Lonchura striata: one gene and its partner. The protein of the gene in region 1 purifies or fractionates together with the protein of each later gene. This does not show direct contact. Links are inferred from orthologs where the notes say so. Each region holds a gene or a part of one and is shown in the gene's direction. Other genes may lie near its edges. The genes, in order: NHSL3 and WASF1.

Evidence for each region.
Region 2: the proteins of NHSL3 (region 1) and WASF1 purify together in Homo sapiens (affinity purification with mass spectrometry; 3 studies listed by BioGRID and IntAct, with this or other methods). This does not show direct contact. The link is inferred for Lonchura striata from reciprocal best matches to the Homo sapiens genes NHSL3 and WASF1.

What each region holds. Positions count from the first base shown.
Region 1 is NC_134628.1:901,489-914,118, reverse strand, and holds the start of NHSL3 (NHS-like protein 3), read left to right. Parts: upstream 1-3,890; coding exon 3,891-4,095; intron 4,096-12,630. UniProt on the Homo sapiens protein: Able to directly activate the TNF-NFkappaB signaling pathway.
Region 2 is NC_134605.1:69,125,986-69,138,701, forward strand, and holds the start of WASF1 (actin-binding protein WASF1), read left to right. Parts: upstream 1-7,476; 5' UTR 7,477-7,477; coding exon 7,478-7,572; intron 7,573-12,716.

The sequences.
Region 1 (12,630 bases):
CATGCCTGTGCCAACCCTGATGTGCCCATGGCATCCCACAGGGCACCGAGGCTGTGCTGACATTCCCACCGGCTTTTCTCTCCCCAGGAAAATTCAGGATGCTCACAAAGGAGCAGGAAATGCCTCTTGTGGCCACCTGTCCCTGTCACCAGGCCACGGGTGATGCTCCTGGGCTGTGCCAGAGCTGTCCCTTCCAGAATGGGAAGGGAGAGACCCTAAAATGCTGGTTTTTTCATCCCATTCCACGCGGCGGGCGCCTGAGCGAGGACATCAGTGCCTCCCTTTTCCCGTGCCAATTTTAAAAACCCATTTTTACAGCTGAGCTGATGCTCAGCACCACCAGCAGCAGTGGCCGTGTCCCAGCGGGGTCACCGCAGCCCGGGCTCCGCTCTGGCTTTTTCCATCCCCCGGGGCAAGGCACGGGAGCAGGAGGCGATTCCGGCGGAAGGAATTTGGGGTGAGAAGCGGCACCCGCGGGGCTCAGAGGGATGCGGGAGGACCTTGTCCCGACGGAGGCGTTAATGAGGAATGAGGGAGCAGCCATGCCCCGCGAGGAGATGGAAATGAGGGCAGGGGATGGATGGGCACAGCCCGGGGCAGCGGCTGCACCCTGGCACGGCTGGCAGCAGCTCGAGCCTGATACCAATCCGTGGTATTGATGATTCCGAAATTGCAAAAATTCTCTGTCTTTCAGCCCCGCTGCCAAAGCAGAAGCCATAATTGGTCTGTGCTGGTTTCCAGGTTGTTTATTCTGTTGATCTCTCACATGTTCTGCTGCCCTGCCCAGCTCTGTCCTGCAGGGCAGCGTGTGGGGCTCTGCCCTCAGTGGGATGTGACAAACATTCAATACCAGAAACTCCCTGGGCTGGATTTACAAGAACGTGCCAATATCTGTCACCTACGTTGGACAGTGTGTCCCCAGCCTGAACCAACAGAAAAATGCCAACACCACAGTGAGACATGGAGGGCATGAAGAAGGAGAAAAAGGACAAGGCACACCCAATTTCCTCCAGCTTGTCCCCTTTGGACCCCTCATCTAGAATCCTAAAATTTTACTTTTGCACCCGTGCCACACTTAATTATTACTGCTATCAAACACACAGAGCTGGTAATTGATCCTGTAAGATTGAAAACTCTTTTCCATGGACAGAGATCACAGCCAGTGTCTCTGGGGGCTCTGTCCAGGGGGGTTCTGACCCCTGCCAGGGTCCCAGGGCAGCCAGAGGGAAGCTCTGGATTCCCACAGCAGTTTGGGTTTTTTATTCTGGGTTTCGCTTCCCAGGGATTCCCCATTTCACCCGGGGATGTGGCAGAGTCTCTGCCTCCCCTCCCCTGTGCCTGGGTCTCGTGGGAGCTGAGTTTTTGTGGGAGCTGCTGTCCCCAGGATTCTCTGTCATCATCCTGGCCCCGCGGGTGGAAATGATTTACCCAGCTGGGGACCCCGCACGCTGCTGGTCTGGAGCTTTTTGGGGCCCTTCATGAAGTGTTGGGGTGCTTTGGGGAGCTCCTGGAATTTCTAGGGCTGGGACAACCTTCCTCTTCACCTTCCTCCTGTGCTTCCCTCACCCCTCTGTCCCCGCAGTGTAACCGATCCTCTCCCCCTCTCTCCCTGTCATTACTTGGACAATGCTCCATTACTCTGTGCAGAAATATTTTTCAAACTGGTTCTGCTGCCACACGAGGAGGGGAGAGATGAAAAATGAAAAATGGGATTTTTTTTTTAATTTTTTTTTTTTTTTGGGAGGCTAATGACTCGGAAGTCAGAGCTGGCAGCAGAAAGTCAACCCAAACAGCCTAATTGGGGATTAGAATCTCCTCAGTGCAGCTCAGCTCAGCTCAACAAAGCCCAGGGAGCAGTGACACGCTCAACCTTCATCCTGGAAAAGAATCACCTCCCTGGCACCACAGAGAGGCCCAGAGGTGCCGGGAAATTTCAGCCCAACTCCTTCCAGTGCTCCTTTCAATCTTCAGTTTGGGTTCAGATGGGTGAAGGAGGGAAAATGTGAGGCAGAGACACAAAAGCCCAGCAAATCCCAGCCTTTCCTCAGGCATCACCCTGGATTTGGAGCCAAATTCCCATCCCTGCTCACTGCTGCTATTGGGAAGCAGCTCAGGTTTGCTCAGCCCACAAGATAGAAGAGCCAGTGCCCGAATCCCACGGGAGATGCTGATGTGCTGGGAAGCCTGAGAGATGGAGAAGCTTCTTGCTTTAGAAATCTTCCAGCCATTTCCAGCAGCTGGCAAACTCCTCCGGGCGTGCGGCCAGGCCCTGGGAGCGTTGGGAAGGATGTGGCTGCAAGAGAGGCAGCAGGAAACGCAGGGAGCCGAAGCCCTGGGAGCCAGGAGCGTGGAAATGCAGCAGAAACCACCTGAGTTCTGCTTGGGATCCTTCCCTTGGCTTTGCCACGCGTCCTGCCGCCGGCCTGCTGCTCTTCCAGCTCAGTCCCTGTGTCCTGTTGTCCCCTCTCGGCTGGATCACAGAATCGTGGAATGGTTCATGTTGGAAGGGAGCTTAAAAGTCATCTTGTTCCAATGCCCTGCCATGGGGACACCTCCACTGGGAGCTGGGATCCCACTGGGGGCTGGAATCATCCCACCGGGAGCTGGGATCCCACTGGGGGCTGGAATCCCACTGGGAGCTGGAATCATCCCACCAGGAGCTGGAATCCCACTGGGAGCTGGAACCCCACTGGGAGCTGGAATCCCACTGGGAGCTGGGATCCCACTGGGAGCTGGAATCCCACTGGGAACTGGAATCCCACTGGGAACTGGAATGCCACTGGGAGCTGGGATCCCACTGGGAGCTGGAATCCCATTGAGAACTGGAATCCCGCTGGGAACTGGAATCCCACTGGGAACTGTCCCAGGCTGCTCCAAGCCCCGTCCAGCCTGGATTTGGGCACTTCCAGGGATCCAGGGGCAGCCCTGGCTGCTCTGGGCACCCTGTGCCAGGGCCCTCACCCTCGCAGGGAAGGATTTCTTCCTGAAACCTAATCTCGATCAGATTGGAGCGGTCATGCTCCCGAGCTTGTACCGGGTGGTGAAATCCTTTCCCAGGCAGCTCCTGCTGCTCTGCCGGCCTCAGGCAGAGCCCGGAGAGCCTCTCCAGGGGGCTGAATTCCCCTTCCCGCGGTGCCATTCCGTTTTCAGGAGCTGATTGATCACTCGCAGCGAGCAGCAGCGTGGCACAGCTCAGGTGTGGCCGAGTCGGAGCAGCGTGTGACACAGGGCGAGTGTCACCCCCGGGGCCAGCAGGTGAGGAACCGGGGGAGCTGCGGGGTGGGAGGGCAAGGGCAGGACACGGCTGCGAGTCCGGCTTCTCTCCCGGGACCGGGACCGGGACCGGGGCCAGCCCCGCCGGGATGAGCCGGACGCCGCCCCGGGGATGACGCTGCTGGAATTCCGCGCTCCGCTCCCGCTCGGGTGCTTCCCGCTTTTCCTGCGCCTGTCTCCCGCTGGTGCTCAGCACCTCGGGGCCCAGAGGGTCCCAGAGGGTCGCAGAGGGTCCCAAGGGCGCCCCGCTGTCCCCGCACCGCCCCCTCCCCGCGCGGAGAGCGAGGGGACAAAGCCGGGACCCACCGGGGAACGGGAAGAACACCTCGGGCGGCTCCGGGGGTGACCCCGCTGGCAGCAAGGGGAGGGTCCCCGGTCCCCACGCCCCCGGGGCCACCTGCGGGCTCGGGGGGGCGGGCGCCGGTGCGGGCGGAGCTCCCGCAGCCCCGGCCCCGCCCCGCACAGAAACTTTCCGTCGGCGCCGGGCGCTCGGCGGGAGCCCGGAGCGGGGCCGGGGCTGCGGCCGGAGCCGAGCCGAGCCGAGCCGGGCGGGCCCGGCCCTATGGGCAGCGGCTGCCGGCGGTGCGGGGCGCTGCGGGGCGCTGCCCGCCGCGGCCATGTCCGCCGGGGCTGCACCTGCGGCGGGCGGCGAGCGGGAGCCGGAGCGGGGCGGCGGCGGCGGCGGCTCGGAGGGCGCTCCCGGGGCTCCCCCCCGGCGGAAGAAGGGCCGGGCGAACTCGCTGCGCCGGGCGATCAGCTGGCTCCGGGGCCGGCGGCGGCAGCCCAAGGACGGCAGCGGCTCGGGAGGGACGGAGGGAGCAGGTGAGGAGCGGGCGGGGTGGTGGCCACGGTGGCACTTAAGGAGGGGGCACGGTGGTGGCCACAGAGGAGGTGGGCGAGGAGATTTTCAGGGAGCTGCTCAAAGAGGTGGCGAGGTGGTTTTTCAGCCCCAAAAATCCTGTCCCACCCTTAGCCACGGTGGTGGCTAAGGAGGGGTCACAGCGGTGGCCACGGTGGCCTTGGTGTGGTGGCAAAGCGTTGAGTGGTGGCTGTGGGAGTGGGCAGGGAGGTGCTGGGGTGGTGTTCTCAATGGTGGCCAAGGCAGTGGGCAAGGAGGGACAAGGTGGTGGCTGTGGAGGGCTCAGGGTGGCGGCAGCGGCCAAGGAGGAGTCACAGCGGTGGCCATGGAGGTGGTGAAGGAGAGGTCAAGGTGGTGGCTGAGGAGGTGTCACAGTGGAAGCCAAGGAGGGTCAGGCTGCTGGCCCTGGAGGTGGCCAAAGAGGGGTCACCGTGGTGGCTGAACAGGAGTTGAGGTGGTGGCCGTGGACGTGGCTGAAGAGGGCGCACAGGAGGGGCAGGGGTGCTGGCCATGGTGGTGGCCAGGTGGGGTGGAGCTGCTGGCCATGGTGGCAGCAGGGGCAGGAGGTGGCAGCGGTGGTGGCAGTGGCCACGGGGGCCGTGGTGGCCGTGGTGGCAGCAGGGGGAGGAGATGGCAGCAGTGGTGGCAGTGACCACGGGGGCTGTGGTGGCTGTGGTGGCAGCAGGGGGAGGAGGTGGCAGCGGTGGTGGCAGTGACGACAGGGGCCATGGTGGCCGTGGTGGCAGCAGGATGGATCCGGCAGTCCCTGGCACAATCTCACCCAGCCCCGAGGGCTGGTGCTGGTTCACTGGGTAGGTTCTCCTGCGCTGAGTCAGAAGGTCACTGGGGCTGAGGGAATTCTGGAGGGATGCCAGCCGCTGCCACCTCCTCCTCCTCCTCCTCCTCCTCCTCCTCCTGGGCAGGGTGTTTGCGTGCTCCAGGTGTGGCCCTTCCTGGCCCAGATACGGTCTCAGCCCGGCCCGCTCGTGCCTGCTGCCTGCACGGCCCGGTCATGTCCCTGCCACCCTGACCAGGACAATCCTGCAGGGGCAGCTGCCCTGGGTCCCCTCTCTTGGCCACCCTGGAGCCCTGTTTTGGGGATCCAAGGGCTCAGCCAGCGAGCTTTGGCAGAGCCATGGCTGCTGGCTTGTCTGGTCACGCTCCTCTCCTCAGCGCTTTTTTGGCAGTAGCAGATGTCCCAACAGGGAAGGTTTCACCCCAAAAGCCTGTCCCACCCCAAAAGCCTGTCCCACCCCACGCTGCTGGGGACAGTGTCTGTGTCACAGCCCTGCCCTCCCTGAGGGCACCTCTGGCAGGGATGTTTTGGCTCTTTTGCCAAGGGAGAGGCCTCTCCCGTGGCACCCGAGCGTAGCAGGACGCTGCCAGCTGGGACTTTTTTCCTCACTTTGCTCCAGGGAGTGAATTTCCAGGCACGCAAGGCTGCGTGCTGCCTGGAGAAGCACACGGGGATCTGTGATAGGACAGGAGTGGCCGTGGGAAGGGAAAAGAAGCTTGGGAAGAGCTGAGCTTTCTCCTGGGCCGATCCATCGGATGCTGCTGGTGGTTCCTCCGTGTGTGGACACCGCTGCCACAGCCCAGCACTGAAACCTGAGCAGAAAAAACGAGATGTGCCGGAGCATGTGATGTTCCTCTTGGCAGCAGAAACGCCCCCAGCAGCTCTGCCAGCCCGTTTTTTCCTTTTTTTTTTTTTTTTTTCCCTGAAGTTGTACCGTTCACCAGCTAAACCCTCAAAATGCCAAGTCACGGCCTGTCAGGGTCACAGCTTGGGGACCTCTCTGTGGCAGCTGTGCCAGCCAGGGCTCTGTCACAGCACTGCCACCCTGCTGTCCCATCGGGAGAGCTTTCATTGCATGGAGGAGCCCTTCAGTGCCCCAGCCCGGGGGACTCTTCCCCTGTGGGCTGCATCCCAAATTCTTCTCCGCGGTGTTGGGGGAGAAGCAGCGCGGATGTGCCGCGCTTGCAGCTTGCCTGCGTGCCTGAATCACCCTCCCCGTGCAGCTCCGGCCCGCAGAGCACGCCAGGAACCCCTCCCTGCTCCAGCGGCCCCGGCACCCATCCCCGCGGGATGGGGACAACGTTTCCCTGCAGGGTGGGGGGGTCAGATGCCTCTGGATGCTGTGGGAAGGAAGGAGCGTTCGCCCCGGGTGTTCTCCAGGCTCGGAGCCGGCGGAATCGCCGTGCCACACGCGGCTCTGACCCGGCCGGAGGCTGCGCTGGCCCCACGAGCATCCGTGCAGCGGGACCAGCTGGGAATTCTTCCAGCCCTTCGTCTCCAGCATCCTGTCCCTCTGCTGCTTTTGCAACCTTCAAGTCTTTAGGGTGTCTGGGAGCCCCTAAAGACAACCAACCTGCTCCCCAAATCCTTGTCTCGGCACAGGATCCACGCCCTGGGACACGCCAGGGGACCCTGAGCACTCCGGGCAGGGGAAGAGCACAATAATATTGACGGTGCTGGGAGCACTGGGAGGGGGAGTGGGGAGAGCTGCGGCAGGCTCTGCGTGCCCTCAGCTTTCCCTGGGTCCCAGTGGTGCTGGGGGATTTGGACCAGGCAGTTCCTCATCCCCCTGGGCGTGGATTGCTCATGGATTTGGGACAGGGTTGTCTGAGCGTCCCGGCGGTGGGGAGGGGGAGTAGGATGGCTCCAAGGGGTGGGAAAGACAGAATTCATCGCAGGGCACCGAATCGGGGCTCATTCCTGAGCATCTGCCTGCCCGGCATTGCTCAGCACTGAAATCACGGCGCAGGGAGGATGAGAGCATTTCCCCTTCGGACCAATCCCCCGGGGCCCGTGGCTATCAGCGATGCCATCTCTGGCTGCCCAAAGAGCTGAGCTGTGAGGAAAGGTTCCCTAATCTCTTTTTGGGAGGGCAGGGGGAAGTGTCTGCCTGGATCTGGGGCAGGCTCCAGCCTCTCTGCTTCTTCCTGGGAGAGAAACACAAGAGCTGAACCCGGGGGTTTGATCCAGGGGGCTGCAGAGGGGTCAGAGGAGGATGTCCATCCCGTGTTTTGGGGTGGTGGGAGGAAGCCTCATCCCAGCCTGGAGATGCCCCTGGCTGAGCAGAGGAGAACTGCTGTCCCACAGTCCCTGGGCAGAGATCTCTGACCTGCTGCCCGTGTGGCCGTGGCCTTGTTTCATCCCCGCTGCCCCGAGGCTGTCCTGTGAACGGGGCACAGCCGGGAGTGGAAAACAGGGAATTTTTTCCCACCCCTGGGCGAGCATCAGCTGCCTCCCCAGGGGACACCAGTGGCTCCAGGAGTGGGGGGTGGCTCCATCCCAGCTGGAATTGCATCCCCGGGATGCTCTGCACTGCTGGCTGGGTTTATTTCCACAATAACCTCTGGAGGCAGAGGAGTGATGAAGGCCCAGCGAGGGCAGCTGGGCTGTGCCAAGGGTCACGCACAGAGCCAGGATTTGGGGTGCCCGGCTGTTGCCACTCCCTGCGCTGGATTTCTGAGTGCAGAGATGGAAACACAGCTCTGGGATGGAGGATGAGCTGGTGCTGGGGTCCAGCGCTTTTAGTCTGGTTGTTTTGGCTGCTGCTTTATCCGGCTTTCACAACATTCCTCTTAATTCCTTGATGAAGTAAAGGAATCGATGTTCCAGAAATATTAAATTAGGGTTGGCTTTTTTTTCTCTCTCTTTTATTTTTTTTTTCCTCTTTTTATTTTTTTTTTTTTTCCTTTTTGATGCCAGCTTAGTCCAGCAGCAATGATTTCCTCACTGGGGTGGGGGATAGTGCTGTTAAAAATAAAGCTTTCGATGCTCACAGCTGCTTTGTAGCAGCAGCAAGTGCTTGTTGGGACTGGGGATTTGCCATGTGCGGGGTGAGCAGAGGGTGGAGGGGCTGGGCTGTGCTGGGGATCGTGCTCAATTCCTTCATGGAAAAGGTTTTCAAGCACTGGGAGGCGTTCAAGAAACAAATGGACGTGGCACTCAGTGCTCTGGGCTGCTTGACAAGGTGGGCTTGGATCACAGGTTGGCTTTGATGATCTTGGAGGGTTTTTCCAACCTTAATAATTCCGTGATTCTGCACTGGTGACATTCGATGCCGCAGGGTTCACGTGAGCCCTCAAGGCAATGTGGGGCTGAGCTGTGGAATCTCCCTGGACAATTATTTCCTGCATCCTCTGCTGCCACGCAGGGTTTGGTGTAAACACAGGGCTTGGGTTTAGCCCTGAGCTTGTCAGCTCAAAGGAGAGGGGGGAGGCGTGGGGATCGTGTGTGGGAAGGAGTTGGTTCATCTGCCAGAGGCACGGAGCGACACTTCAGAAAATGTGAGCAGCAGGAATCCCCTGGCTGGCCGGGCCTGGCACCGGCGAACAAAGAGAGGTGTGTCTGCAAGCACAGCTATTCCACCTGGAGACAAGCGGGAGAATGACTCCTGAGAATAACGTTCCAGAAGAGCCGATAAAACGATTTCGGCGGGGTCACGTTTCCCCCGTGGAAGGCAGGTCTGGTTTCATAAGACAATATCATCATTGACTCCGGCAGCGATGGGAACACGACCCGCTGGAAGGCAAAGAGCTGGGCAAGGATGAAGTGAAAAACCATTTCCCTGCCAAGCAGGAGCCGGAGCCTTGGGCTGGTGGTGCTGAGCATGGATAAAACCCACCTGAGCCTGGGCAGGGAGCTGGGCTCCCTCCACCTCTGCAGGCTGGAGCTGGACCTGTCAGCAGCAGAGCCAGCCTGGAGCAGGAAATCCTTTGGAACCCTCCTGGTTATGTATTTCTGTTAATGATTGGGGATCTCAAGTGGGGTTTTTGTGTTACCTTTGCCTCGCTGAGCTTTACTTCCCCGTGAAGGGAACAAGGGCTGAATTCCTTTCTCATTCAGGCAGCTCAGCTCCTGCTCTCTGCTGGCTGGGAGATGGGATCGGGTTTAGAAAACTCCAGAAGGAGTGGGTGAAACACCAGGAGGGACGGACAGAGCAGCAGGAGGGATGGAGAGAGCACCAGGAGGGATGGAGAGAGCAGCAGGAGGGATGGAGAGAGCACCAGGAGGGATGGACAGAGCAGCAGGAGGGATGGAGAGAGCACCAGGAGGGATGGAGAGAGCAGCAGGAGGAATGGAGAGAGCACCAGGAGGGACGGACAGAGCAGCAGGAGGGATGGAGAGAGCACCAGGAGGGATGGAGAGAGCACCAGGAGGGATGGAGAGAGCACCAGGAGAGATGGAGAGAGCAGCAGGAGGGATGGACAGAGCAGCAGGAGGGATGGAGAGAGCACCAGGAGAGATGGAGAGAGCAGCAGGAGGAATGGAGAGAGCAGCAGGAGGGATGGAGAGAACAGCAGGAGAGATGGACAGGGCACCAGGAGAGATGGACAGAGCAGCAGGAGGGATGGACAGAGCACCAGGAGGATGGACAGAGCACCAGGAGGGATGGACAGAGGACCAGGAGGGATGGACAGAGGACCAGGAGGGATGGACAGAGCAGCAGGAGGGATGGACAGAGCAGCAGGAGAGATGGAGAGAGCACCAGGAGGGATGGAGAGAGCAGCAGGAGGGATGGAGAGAGCACCAGGAGAGATGGACAGAGCAGCAGGAGGGATGGACAGAGCAGCAGGAGGGATGAACAGAGCACCAGGAGGGATGGACAGAGGACCAGGAGGGATGGACAGAGGACCAGGAGGGACAGATCTGTCCCCTGTGCCAGCACAGAGGTGTCCCCAGGCCTGCACTGGCCGCTCTGGCCAAGGGAATGTGTGACTTTGGGGAGATCAGATGTGCCTGGGGCAGTCACGCTGTGCTGGCCAGATCTGTATCTCATGAACAGCTTCTCTGCTGCTTTTATCAGAGATCTCTCAGTGAATAAAACCAGGGATTTCTGGCCTGGAGAAGAAATTCTGCCTGGAATCAGCATCTGTGGCCCCCAGCTCCCCATTCTCACCTGCTGGGGAGGCTGAGGGTGCTTCCCCTCCTTCCCCTCCCCTCCCCTTTGGGCTGTACTGAGGTTCTAACATGGAGCAGGAAATTGGGGTGCTCAGCTGTCCCCACAGCTGTCCCCACAGCTGTCCCCACAGCTGTCCCCACCCCCCAGGCTCCCTGAGCCAGGTTTCTGCTCCCAGCAGCACCAGCCAGCTGTGGATGCAGGATGAGAGCTTGCCTGCCCTCAGACCTCAGGGGGGATTGTGCCCTGGAGCAGCAGTGGGGCAGCTCAGTGGGGTCTGTGGGGATGCTGGAGCTCCCCCCACGCTGCTCCCAGCCCCCCAAATTCGGCAGGGACAGAACCACGGGGCCCAGGAGGAGCTGGAGCTGTGGCTGTGAGTTACCCCAGCCACTGGGTATTTTTGGCACGCGTGGGGCCACGCTCCCTCCCGGGGCTCTGCCCCAAATCCCGGGCTGAGCCCGGGGGCGGCAGCGCCTCGGCTCCCTGAGCAATGCTGGCACGGAGGGATCTGTTTTGGGAGTGCAGGGGGAAGTGTCTGCCTGGATCTGGGGCAGGCTCCAGCCTCTCTGCTTCTCCCAGAGAGAGAAACACAAGAGCTGAACCCGGGGGTTTGATCCAGGGGGCTGCAGAGGGGTCAGAGGAGGATGTCCATCCCGTGTTTTGGGGTGGTGGGAGGAAGCCTCATACCAGCCTGGAGTTGCCCCTGGCTGAGCAGAGGAGAACTGCTGTCCCACAGTCCCCGGGCAGAGATCTCTGACCTGCTGCCCGTGTGGCCGTGGCCTTGTTTCATCCCCGCTGCCCCGAGGCTGTCCTGTGAACAGGGCACAGCCGGGAGTGGAAAACAGGGAATTTTTTCCCCCTGGATCCCCTCATCTCTTTAACAGCTCCCACAGCAGATGGGGCAGCAAACCCACAGTCAGTCCCTGCCCAGCTGAGCGTGCCCTGGGCACCCAACCAAGCTGGTGAGGAGCTGAACCGTCAATATTTCCATTACTGAGGAGACTGAAGTCCAAAGATTAATTCGGTGCTGATCACCTTGGGAGGTCAGGACAAAGCTGCTGGTTGATCTTTAATTTTTTTTCCTTTCTTTCTTGCACCACCTCCCCGGTTTTTGTGCCTTTCCCACAAAACCCTCCTTCCTATTTATCCCAGCCTTTGATGAATCACCTAAGGAACATAAACATTGCCAGCAGGAATTGCCCACCACTGCCTGCCTGGCTGACCCCTCCCTGCCCTGGCAGCATTTAATGTTCTAATTAAAAATCAGGAGGGAAAAGTGGCCTTGGGGAAGGGGCCGTGAAGGGAGGCGCTTGTCCGGGTGGCTCGGGCAGCTCTTGGAGCAGCAATTCCCGTGGCCAGCAATTCCCTGGCTGCTGGCAGAGCAGGGATTGGGGCCGGGAGAGGCCGAGGTGCTCCCGGAGAGGGACGGGAAGGTGCCGGCAGTGTGAGCAAAGTGCTCGTGACTCGCCCCAGAGGCAGGAGTGGCCGTGGCGAGGGCGGCAGGGGCTGCCACCCACGCCAGGGCTGGCATGTGGCTGCTCGCCCTGACTTTGGGCACAGCGGCAGGACCCAGCCCCTGGCCTCGGGCGCTTTGGTAGTCCTGTCCTAACCTTGGGTGGGCTGCGTGAGGTCTCTCCGTCCCCAAAAAAAACCCCACCGAGGTGGGAGGGTTGTAGCGGCGGCTGCTGGAGATGAGCACGGCCAGAAGCGGTGGCGGCAGCGTGGCGAAATCCAGGGAGCTGCGAGCGCGGCTGGAGGCGAAATCCCCGGCTCGGGGATGTTTGGCCAGCGGGGCTTCTCCCTGTATCACCCCGGCATCCCATCCCGGGCGGAGGGATGGGTTTGGGAGGGTGCTGTGCGATCCGCTGGAGGTGAAATCCCCGACTCGGGGATGTTTGGCCAGCGGGGCGTCTCCCTGAGCCCGTGTATCACCGCGGCATCCCATCCCCGGAGGAGGGATGGGTTTGGGAGGGTGCTTTGCGATCCTCTGGAGGTGAAATCCCCGACTCGGGGATGTTTGGCCAGCGGGGCGTCTCCCTGTATCACCCCGGCATCCCATCCCCGGCGGAGGGATGGGTTTGGGAGGGTGCTGTGCGATCCTCTGGAGGCCAAATCCCCCAGTCGGGGATGTTTGGCCAGCGGGTCGTCTCCCTGAGCCTGTGCATCACCCCGGCATCCCATCCCCGGAGGAGGGATGGGTTTGGGAGGGTGCTTTGCGATCCTCTGGAGGTGAAATCCCCGACTCGGGGATGTTTGGCCAGCGGGGCGTCTCCCTGAGCCCGTGCATCACCGCGGCATCCCATCCCGGCGGAGGGATGGGTTTGGGAGGGTGCTGTGCGATCCGCCGGGCCATCCCGCCAGGCCCCTCCTCTCTCTCTGCCCGTACCATTGGCTCCGGCGCGGCCGCCTGCGAGCGCTGCGCTCCGCCGGGGCCGGGGCGATGGGGAGCGGCGGCTGAGAGCCGCGATCCGCCGGGGCCGCGCCGGAGCCCGCTCGCTTCGGCCATGTAGCACCGCGGTGCCCTCCACCCGGCCGCGGTGGAGGCGGCAGCGGCCTCATGGGCAACGCGCAGCGCAAGAGGAGCCCGGC
Region 2 (12,716 bases), on another chromosome or scaffold:
TTATGGACGAGGTTGTCCAAATATTTATACAATGATAATTTAATGGTATAAGTGTAAAGTCTAGTACAAGGTCACTGTTTGTTACTTTTTTCTTTCTTTTATATTAGCAAAATATTATCCCTGTGGTGATATCTGATATAAACTGGGTGCTTTAGACTTGTGATGTAGCTTAAATTGTAAAACAGAGGAGTTATCGTCTTTCTATTGTTTTTGGTTTTGCTTGGTTACTTGTTTTATTTTTTGTTGGTTTTTGGAGTTTTTTTGGGTTAGTTTCCTTCAGATTAGTTCTTTAGAGGAAAGTAGGTTCAGTGTATGATCAAGATAAAAATCTTGAAACCTCCTTTCTTGTTACTCTAAAACTCAGATTACTTTGCTGCTTCCTCCCCCTGGCTCATGTACATTGGAACGATCATCTGAACACTCATAATATAACTCCAAGCACTCAGGAGTTGCCATGCCAGATCAATCTTGGTTCATCTAAACATGTACATGGCAATAATCATGAGTTCTTATAGAACTCCCAGCATGTAGGAGTTGCCGTGTGAGTTAAATATAAATTATCAATGCTGGTAATTTTGTTACCCTTTTTAGTCCAGGTTCAGCAGTGAGCTCTGGCAGTATTTTTCATCACAGGGGAATCTAGCTCCTTGGGAAGACTACGAAACAGGTTATGGATTATAAAAACAGATTAATTTGCTGTGGTTTTTCAGAAATGTGTTATGCAGAAATTGTATTATGCCAATCCAAGTTAGGTTTTCTTCTTTAAATCTTATCTTTGGGACCTTTCATCTCTATATAAATATAAAACTGTCTTCTCTTAGTGAATAAACATCAGCATCAGTTTTCTCACCAATGTGGTATTCTCTCCTGCTTACTGATGCAGAGTATCTCCAGACTATTAGTAGGAACTCCTTATCTACTCCATTACGTGCATAGCCATGTTTCTTGTTGCACTGATCTACAAGTAATGTAAAAGGCATTTGGTGGCTGCTTTAGCTTTTACTTGTTGCATTCAGAACCATTAATTTATTTCAGATTGAATTCAAGACAGTATATTTTTTGATCCTCCTTGGTTATTTTCTGGTCTTTTGAGAAAGGTTTTGATTGATGATCTTGTGGAATAACCAAGAGTAACCAAACTGTCTGTTATTATTTTATTGCATCTGCCATTGGGCTATATAGGCAAGGATTTTATTTACAATTTTTATTTTCATCATTTATTGTGGAAAACAGAAATTCAGCTTTTTTTATTTTTTTCAAATTTGTTGCTAAGAATTTTAGTGGTATAAAAATATTCTGTACTATCATTGAAGTCAGAATTTTACTACATAGAAATATTATTTTTATCAATTAATTTTGCTAGTTTTACTTACAAAAAGACTATCTGAATTTGTTGGATGAATATTTCTATGAATTTTTGCATGAATCATAGAATCATTTTGATTCAAAATACCTTTAAGATCATGGAGTCCAATCAATATCCTTACACTGCCAAGGGCATCACTAAACCATGTCCCCAAGTGCCACATCTACGTGTCTTTTGAACACCTCCAAGCCTATATCCTCTTCCCACACATGAAGTGACTCAGGTATTCTGTGCCAAATAACAGCCCATCCTTATGCTGAATCCTGTGTGAGTTTCCATTCCACGTCCATTCTTTTTCTGGGATGTCTTCAAATTGTGTGGGTTCCTGGCTGGTATTTCAATGTACTAATTCCAGATTCCTGGACATTTTTCTCATCTTAAGTTAATAAAATAACCTGAATCAATATCCAAAGAACACCTCCTGACCTGTTAATCAAAGTATTGTGAACTTCCTTGACTGTACAACTTGTCTTCCCTCAGAGAGGCATACTGTTTCCTGGTTTTAATTAAATTTGGTTATAATATGTTTTAGTTATGTAAAACAGGAAGGATAATAACATATAAAAGTACAGTCAGAGAGAATTTTTAAAGTTAGTATTAATTATTAATCTATAATGGAATTCATATATTGTCTCTTGTCATCAACTGAGTGAATTGTATTCCATTTAATGTTAGGGTCAAGGCTGTAACTAGATTTCAGGTGGAGCTTGATTAGTTAATAAATAGGATTATACAGCATTGTCTTTTGTATTACATAGGATTAGATTTGTGGTTTAAGAATGATATGTCCTACCCAAAATGTATACATCACAGACAGTAAAATCTGTTTATTTTCCAAGACTACTTAATGCTGTGTTTATAAATATCTTAAGCTCCTCTCTGCCTAATTGAGACATTTAACTTAAGTCACCCACACATGCTTAGAAGTGCTTAATTTGTCTAGGTATGTGGGTAGCCTCCTAAATTCTCTATTATTCCCAAAGGAAGCTTGAAAAGACAGCCTTTGGGATTAGATCTATGACCAGTTTCATCTCTTCTGAGAGTGATCATTACTGTCTCTGACTTAAAACATTTGGTTGGTTATGCTGTATTAGAGCACTGAAAAATATGTGTACAGCACTCAAGACAGGTGATTTAAACCCATGTCTTCCCATTTCTAGGGGAGAAAGAGCTAAGTAATAGAGGAAAAATGGAAAAGTACCTTTCAAGTGACCAGGACATTCAGCTGTAAGGACACATATCTAATATTCAATAATTCTGAAACTGGTTTTATCTAATGACTATATATGTAATGGTTTTATCCAATGACTATATATATGTATACACACACACACAGACACACACACACACATATATATATATGTGTGTGTGTGTGTGTGTGTGTGTGTGTGTGTGTATAATATGTATGTTTTAAGTGCATAATTATTTTCTGGGATTAAGCTCCGGGATCTAAGTTCTGCCACTTGCAGCTAATATCCCAGTTTCTGCAAAAGATTTGACTTCCCCTTGTTTGCTTGCTTTGTTTCAAGTGCCTTCACACTAAAGTGTTCTGTGGCCTAATGCTTTTGATTACTGCAGTAAGGGAGGCATGAATTCATTCCTCTTAATCTTGTGTGTATCCTTTAGTCAGTCTTTCCATTTCTCGAGGGAGTTCTTCAAACATCAGGCTGTTGTTCAGGAAGCAAGAATCATCGGACCTTTGGTGCCTGTGCTTCAAAGAGGGTAGATAGGGTTAACCTGATGCCCATTGAGGCCATTTTGATTTCCGGCTTGTGCTGTATGTCCTTGGTTTAAAAAAAGCTAAAAAAAGTGAGTGAAATGGTTGGCTCTTTTTAGGCACTTGTGATTTCTGGGCATTCTGTGGAAACTCCAGCATTGAGCTGGCTATGATGATTTCCAGCTGCTGTCGTCAGAGCAGTTGGAAGCTGAAGCAACTGTTGGTGCCTTCACAGACACGTCCATTTCCTATCTTTTCCTATGCTTGAAACCAGTATTTTGATGACACCAATATTTGATAAGTAGTATTTTATACAGTTCTGGTCTAATACTGTGTCCTAAATTCTCTGAATTTTTACAGTTAGCATATCTTAATTGCAAAAGGAATTACTAAAATTATTGAGTTCTTACATTATCTACCTTTGAGGCATCTTTATTACTTCATAATTATATGTACTAGTTCAAAGTCTAAAAATTCCAAGCTATCTTTTCAGAGCTCCCTGTAGAGACAGCTAAAGATAATCTCATTTTACATCCCTATTCTCTCACTATCTACTTTCTGCTAAATATTTGTTAAGAGAGAAAGAGCTAACTTTATTAACTCCCTTATTAGATCTGCCCTTCCTTGTGGCTGGCTGGGCTAATCTTTTTGCTGTATTATATAAAGAATTAACAGATTTACCTTCTTTTCCTCTATGTGGTCTCTTGACTACCTCAGAGGAGCCAACAGGGATCTGTGTTAAGTCAGTGTTTCCCCTATGATAGAAGGTGCTATGATTGTCACGTGTAATGGGCCTGAGGGTGTTTTCCCTCCAGATTGAGAACACCTTCTTTTCTTTGATAAATATGTACCTGCAGGTTTTTTGCTCATAGTGACTTAATCCTGTTGATGCCATAAACCATGAAGGTGGACCTTTACTGTCTCTCTATTAAGAAGTTCTGATGTAAGGTGAGTGCACAATTGAACACACTCTCCTGACCCAGTGAAGTTCCCTTGAAAAGCTTCCAAATGGGCCTAATTTCTCTCTGCTTGAAACTGAAATGGCATCTCCAGTTTGCAGACTGTAGTTTTCATTTGCATGTATTTTGTATTTCCAAGCATAAAGTACAAAGATGTGTGTATTTCAAAATGTTCTTCTTTCATGTTTGTGCCTTCAGTTATTTAAGCTAGCTTTAAATAATGATTGATGCATAGCACAAAACCAACTTAAATTTTTTTTTAATCAAGTTTCCAAACTTGGAGTCAAGAAAAGAAGGTGAATGCAGTCATTCTTTGTCTGTTTTTCTGATTCCTGTTTCATCTCAATATTTTTAAATGACTGTCAAATTTAAGAGAAAGGTCATAGGAATAAAATATTTGAAACGTTGTTGAGCTCCTGTACATATTGTTAAAATGCATGTCTTTGCAAATATTACGGGCAATGGAAAGGTAACAGTGTTAGTTTACATGTAAATAGCCAGAGGAAACCAGAGAGGGAAGGCATTCTACCGATATCCCAATTATGGAATAGCTTTAGTTAAAGCTCACAATCAACCATGACACAAACGCCTTGAGAGGACTAGCTTTAATTAGTTCTAATCTTCACAAAAAAATTAGTTTTCTCACCAATATTTATTCATTTCATATTAAGAATATTGCTCAAACTCAGGCATGGACAGTGAAAATAAATGCTGGCTATAATTAACTTGAGCATTTAAGTTTAGGGGAAAATACTTATGTAAATATGAGGACTTTAAATGCTTCTTACAGAATTACAAAGAAATCTAATTTTGTCTAGCAAATGAGTTTTTCCTTATGAGATATTTTAAAGTGTTTAAATTTTGGCTTGCAGAAACAATGGAATATTAAAATTAATTTATTAAAATACAGCACATTTAAAAACCTTCATGCATGTAATCCCTACTTGCTACAAAAATTTTCTGAATGTATACTGATTTTTTTATATAATATTTCATCGGTGTTATGACAGAAGGGAAAATAGCTCACATTTCTTCTTAATAAATATTCACATGACTAGTTTCCTTGATTTTGTGTAAAAATGTATTTATCTACTGGAAGTCATATAAATCAGGCTAATAGGAAAAAACTTCCTGTTGCAAGTTCTAAATGTCATCCTGTAAAGAATCTCATTTCATTCCAGAATAGCTACTTAAAGGACCAGGAGTTTGAGTCTGGAGCTCAGACCTGCAAAGGACATCCAAACAAGAAACTTAATTCGGTGAAAAAAGAATTTGCAAGATTGAATTTATGCAGTTGCAAATTTAGAGTAGGCAATAGCAACAAATGATGTCATAATTAAAAGTATTCGCAGAACATAAGATGATTTGTACCGGAGAAGACCTCTAAAGATAGCCTAGTTTCAGACCTTCCCCTAGGCCATGTTTCTTGGAGCCACATCCAACCTGCTCTTGAAGACTTACAGGGATAGGGCATCCATAGCTTCTCTGGGCAACCTGTCCCAGTGCCTCACCACCCTCACAGTGAAGAATTTCTTCCTAATGTCTAATCTAAACATTAAATATCTATTTAATTATACCTCTTTCAATTTAAAGCCATCCTCCCTTCTTCTATCACTACGTGCCCTTGTAGAAAGTCCCTCTCCAGCTCTCTTGCAGCCACCTTTAGGTACTGGAAAGTGTTGTAGGATCTCCTTGGAGCTCTCCCTCCAGAGTGAGCAACCCAACTCTCAGCCTGTCTCCACAGGAGAGGTGCTCCAGCCCTGTGATCCACCTCATGGTCCTCATCTGGATCCTTCAATTTTATTTTTTTTCTGCTAAGTAAGAACAGAAATTTATGACTTAGTAGAATTCATAGCACAGAAAGTGTGTGGCATCTCTAAATACCTAAATGTTACAAACAATGAGAAATAATAATTAATGTATGTAATCTGAAAGTATAGGGAAACAAAGCTCAGAGAAAGAGGGGGAATGGACACATTTTCATGTGTGGTGTGTAGCTGGTTGTAAGAGGTTACCCAAGAAATTACTGGAAATACCTTATTTCAAATGATGATATTTGAATGGAAAACTTATTGTCCCAAATGACACTACCTACTGTGTAGAAAACAGGCACATCTGAAAACAGGCACATCTGAGTGCTCTAGTCTTTAGCTTAGCAAGTCTTTAACTCACTTCATCTGGTGTAATAACTTTTGTTGTTACACCAGGTGAATTATGTAATGATCTAGCCTGCCACAGTATAAATCATTATTGAAATAGTCGGTTTTTTATATTTTATATATTATAATAATGAAAATCATTATTAAATCATCATCAGTGTTTTTGGGCTGTGAAATATTTAATAATATTTCAGTTCAAAAGCAAACAATTTCTCTGTAGATGTTAATACCTTTTTTCTGCAGCATGGCTCTTCAAACGTTAAGTAACGTAAACGGCAGTAGACAGGGAAATATGTTTTTCTGCATTGACATTTTTTGCAACAAATCCTCTTCTCAGGAATTTCATTGTTCACAAGAGGGGGAAATTAATCTACAGAGAAGCTCAGCTAGTAGTAATAAGATGATTATTACACATTTTTACATCCCACTTGGTAGCTGGTATATCTTAATTCTTTCTTTAAAACTGTGAAAAAGAAAATCAAACCAAATAATCTGTCATTTGTGTGTTAGGTATCTAAGCATAAAATGCATTTAGGCACTTGGTGTCGTAGCATAAAGTGCAGGGAAGGTTTCATTCTTAAATACACGACTCCTTCGTGGCTCTTGCAGTGCTAACACCACTTCTTCAAATCTCTAATGTTTTGAGGCATGAAAAGCTGCCAATAGTCATTGTTGACACCTGTAACTAAGTTTAATAAGGGAGTACTAGTTAATATAGTGTGTAGCACTGCTGAATTAAATACAGGAACTTCCTAAGTAGCGCCTTCATTGTGTGATGTTTCTTAGTCACAGCCTTCTGCACATTGGCCTAATTACTACTGTAGATTCCCAACATCATTTATTATTTGATTAATATGCAATTCCTTTCTCAGATTCATCAGTAATAGCAACACAATGCCCAGACTCTTGTATTCCCCTTCCTTCCTTTCCTCATCAATGCACAGCAACTCGTTTCTTTCATTTTTGGCACATCATAATTTAATATTTACCCGTTGTAGCTTGGTACCAAAGGAACAATTATTTCCTAATCACTTGCCTTCAGGGGGTTCTCTACTTGTGTCTGGAGAAAAAGGGCAGTTTGGGAGCATGCCTGTGTTTCCTTTGTAAGGACAGCCCTGTTGTTAGGGCAGGGCACTGTGTGCTGAATTCTAATGCCTGGGTGCAAGAGCCAGCCTGTGTGGAAGGGGCAGCGTGGGAGGTGCTGGCTGCGATAGCAGAGCCCCAGCCTGGGGCTCCCTGCGAGTGGGGAGCTGTGCAAGTTGTCCGGCCCGTGCCGATGGGAGCGCAGCCCTGGAGCGCCGTGGCCAGGCTGCAACACCTCATCCCCCCGGTACCCACCAGGCTGCTTGGCTTGGCAGCCAGGCACTTCAGGTACCATTCCTTTAAATATTTATCATTTGCTGCCACAAAATATTGTCCGTTCAAAAGCACGTTGTTGTGTATTGGCATAGATTTTTATGTGCATTTGGTAGATTTTGTAAGATTGTTTAAAATTTACGAGTGTTTGTAATAGGTCTTGTCCTGGATTGGCAAAGGACTATGTAACAGAGGTAACTGTTTATGTATGGAATATTTATTTTCAAGGAAAATTGTAGAAAATTTTCAAAGGTAGCATGTTCAAACCACAGAGAAGGTACCTTTAGTTCTGGTACTAAGGTTCTGATTTTAAATTAATACTGGATTAGTTATCTGTCTCTGTCAAGTCTATAATAAAGATCTTTTGTTGCAATCCATCTTAGGGCTTTTGTGTTATAAACTATACCTAGAAACTGTTAACAGGAAGACTAGATTAATGCAGAGAGAAAAAATGTCATCAGATAAAACATAGGTCTCAAAAAGCAATTTCAAGTTCCATACTATGTTATGCATTAATACATTTTTAGCCTTTGGGGAAAAGAGAAAAACTTGTAATCAAAAATTAATTTAAGCATTCTTGGCTGTACCTAAATTAGAACCCTGGATACTTCCAAAATTGTTATTAATCAAATGACCTGACAGGAGCTCACTAGGAGAAAATTAATGAGTGCAGACTTCTGAATAATATTTAGTAATGCTGACCAGAAATTTTGCAGCTCTTTTTCTAATTTTACATATGACAATTTAAAATACTTCTATTTCGAGGTAGCCATATGTGTCTGTACATGTATGTTATGCAAATATATTGTACATCTGCTCTTTATTTTTAAATTAACTTCTTCAGAAAGCTTAATAGAAATACAAGATCACGAAGTCACTATTTTTTCTTGATTAATATCTTAACAATGAAGTGACATGTGGTTCCATATGACTTAAATATTTCTCCATTAATACATGGATACACTTGTTTAATTTATTTTTTTTTAATTTATTGTAAAATATCATTGCAATTTTTGCTGGTTGGGGTATAATGATTCTCATCTTTTCTGGGAACAATTCACAAGATTTATTTTATAAGTCTTCACTGTAATTTAGTGCTATATAGAAGGAAAGAAATTGATAATTAGTATTTTGTGCCTTTAGGGTTTGGATTTGAAGAATACAATTCTATTCTATCTGGTTTCTGGTTATTTACTGGTTTGTAACTTTAAAATAAAACAGGTCATTAAAAGATTGGGTCATCATACCTGTAACAAAAGTTTTAGTTTCAAGATACTAAGAAGTAGAATTATAACGAAAACCAAGCCTAAACACCAATTAATTCACATCTAACATCTGGAAATTCTTAAGGGTGTATTTTAATTTTTAATAGACCATAGAGAGTTTTTTCATCAGAAATTTTAGTCTTTGTGTATTCTGTGTTTTTTATGTTATATGCATTTTGGAATTAAGATGTTATACAAAAATGTGGATTATAATTTTCTTATTTCTATTTTTGCTTAACATACCTAATGTGAGGGAAATTTGTAAGTCTAAATGTTTCTTGCTGTAGACATGCTAAACAGTGTTACATCTAATTTTGTTCATTGAATCTTGTTGGTAAGCCAGAAGTGTAACTGGCTTAGTGCGTTATTGACCCCAGCAGTCCTGCTGTTCAGAGTAGGTAGTGTTAAACCTGATTTGTTTTTGTTTTTTTTTTTAATTTTTCCATTTTGATTTAAATAACTTATTTATTAAGATGAACAGAGATATTTTTACAGTTATTGGGAGACAACTGCAATAATGGTGGCTGGGATTTCTTTTTTCACATGAATGACTCAAAAGACACCATAGTAAGATGGAAGCTGTTGGGAAGGTAGTGGAAAATAAAGGAAGTAGCATTGGATGCTTAATAAATTGACAAATCAGTAGATACTTGTTTATATTCTGGAAAATCATAGTTGAAAACAAAGGAAAAAACTTCAGTTATGTGAAATCAAGCTGAGTTTACCCTTGTAAAAAGGATCTGTCTTGAAAAGCCACAGTTAGTGAGCTGTTTCAACTCTGAGTTGTTTGTGAATTCCATTTCATGAATAGGAATCCTGCTTAACAATAGGTACGAGATTTGCAAAATCCACATGCCGTTTATTTCACCCCATTGCGTTTTGCACTTGTATTGGGAAAAAGAAACCAATATTGACCTGAATATTCTCTCCTTGTATTTAGGATACCTTAAGCTTTTGCTCTGTACATGTGATCAGAGTGAAATTTTTCATGAGGGTGAGAGGGGAGGGGAGGGGAGGGGAGGGGAGGGGAGGGGAGGGGAGGAGAGGAGAGGAGAGGAGAGGAGAGGAGAGGAGAGGAGAGGAGAGGAGAGGAGAGGAGAGGAGAGGAGAGGAGAGGAGAGGAGAATGTATAAATGATTGTGACAACCTCTCCCACCTGCACACTGGGACAAAAGGGGCCAGAGGCAGCCTGAACAACACACAGTTGGCAGGAATTCCAGACGAGTGGGGACACTGAGGAAAGCCCGAAGAGTGGGTTGTAGGTAGTGGGGAAAGGTAAATGATTTTCCCCAGCAGAATGGGAAATGGTGTGCAAGCCCTGAGGGCTGCACTCACAGGGTGGGGAGTGGTTGCTGCCCACTACGATGGTGTGTTTTGTGACACAGCTCATTGACTTGACCCAGATTGCAGCTTCACTCGCTGAAAATATGCTGGTGTTCCCTCTCAACCTTCAGGTAACCCCTGTAATTATGAACAGATATGTCAACTTTCTCCTCTGGAATATCACTGCTGTTCCTGTTAATGAGGTTGTGCTTGTTGCATTGCTACTGGGGAGTCGTATTTTGCACTGTTGCCCACACTGAGAACTCTGCTGACACTGCCATCATCAGAGCCAGTGACAGTGGCTATTTAAGATTTTCTTGAAAAGTTAATTTATCAGAGATAAAGCTCTTAAAAGCCAGCATACAAATTATTAATCCCTCCATTTCTTTCCACTCATAGCTTGCCAAAATTACCTTCACTTTGATGATATTAATTCATGGTAGTCACAAGCTACATAGGGCTTAAAATATAGTTTTTTCTTTTCCAGAGTAAAAAATTATTGCCCTTTTTTAATTTGTTTAGCTGAATAAATATTAAACTTTTAAATTTTGACAAGGAAGTAGATGTGGCTGTAGTCTGTGTCTGTGATCAAATCCAAATTGATTTTCAAATATTTTTTGTGTTCTTTAAAGATGAGTGTGCAGATGTATACAGGCATAGGGAGAGACTGTAGTCTTGTGATACACACCTGAGAGAAAATTGGTTGGATGGTAGTAGCTGAAAAATAATTTTTTAACAATGTAATTAAGCCTTAGAGATTGACTAGAACTCAAGTCCTACCCATATATGTGACTGTGTTCTCTTCTGCTTATCTGATGTGACAGATGTGCTGAGATGATTGCAGCTTGTTCTATAGGAGGAAAATACTAATTGCCCCAGACAATTAATACAATACAGAAGTCAGTCAATATTAAATACAGAATAAGAATTGCAAATTAATTTTAAATATATTTTATGGTTATATGAAGTAGACTGGTTTTCACAATCTGTTAATTACTGTCTTGCTAATCAAATTATTTCCTATACAATGTTATTGAGCTAGATCCTTCAGTGACCCACTGATATATTAATCTATTCCCGAATAATCTTATGATCAGTTCAGCAACAGAATATTTAGAGAGATTGTTGTTGTTATTACTTGGGTAACAGTATTTTTCGTATTTGTGACTACAAAGAAAATACGACATATTTTAGTGGTGACTCTGTGGTTTATTGAAAAAAGAAATTATCAACTTCCATTCTGTGCCCTTTATAGGCATTGCTCCTTAGGCTGACCAAACTCTTGTGACTAGAGACAGGACTCAAGGAAACAGCATGAAACAGAGGAGGTTAGATTGGGTATCAGGAAAAGGTTCTTCACCCAGAGCATGGCTGGGCACAGGAACGGGCTCCCCAGGGAAGTGGTCACAGCACCAAGCCTGCCAGAGTTCAAGCAGTATTTGGACAATGCTCTTAGGCACAAGGTGTGATTCTTGGAGTGTCCTGTGCAGGGCCAGGAGTTGGACTTGATGTTCATGATGGATTTCTTCCAGCTCAGGATGTTCTATGATTCTACAAATATGTCACAACTTTTTTGGATAGACAATCCAGTATAGGAGGTCTTAAGATGCAAATGATTCATTTTATGCTCATTCTTAAATAGCAGTGATGTCAACATCACATTCCAGTAATATATTCCACATTTATTTTCTTTCACATGCTTTTTAGTTGCAATAAAGTCTTTTCGTAGTTAGTTGAAGTTAGAAAAAAATGTTTGAAAGTGAATTGCAGATTTGAGGGAAGTGTTCCAAAGAGAAGATTTTCCATTCTACGACATGGCTCACAGAAAGGATACCAAAACTGTAAAATTAACCAATTTCTGTTGAATTGTCAATTTAAGATGTCAGTTGTCATCTTGTCAGATCTGAGATATATCCTTTAAGGGATGTTAATTACCTTTAGAATTTTTAAATTGTTATGTTGACTCATCAGTAGGTGGCTGTGGCCTACTTTGTTGAGGGACACCACACTGTAGGTGACTGTTTCTTCTTAAATTTGTACCTGGTCTTGATCTTGCATTGAGAGCTGCAGAAAAACAAGGAACACAAATTCTTTGCACATTTACCTTTCATAGTAGAGGAGTGCATTATAAGAACTTCATCTTTGAATTTTCTCCAACTGGTATGACTTATGATGTCTTGTAATATAATTAAAAGAAAATTTACCAGGAGGATGAACTTGGTTTTTTAACTTACTCAATTCTGATTTTACCAGATTTGTTAACGCATTTAAATTTTTTTATTAACTTGTGTATAGCGTAGATGCAGTTAGTACAGGAGATTTGTTAACACATTTAAATTTTTTTATTAACTTGTGTATAGCGTAGATGCAGTTAGTACAGGATTATGTAAGCAAATATAAGAACTATTATATATTCTATTTGTGATTCCTAGGGTGGGTGGGGGGAAGTGTTAAATTGATTGTTGCATTTGAAACTGTGGTCTGTTCTGCCAGCAGCTGGAATGTGATCAATTAAATGGGGCATATGAAAGGCATTGCTGTTGCACATTGTTAAAGGAAAATTACAAGCAA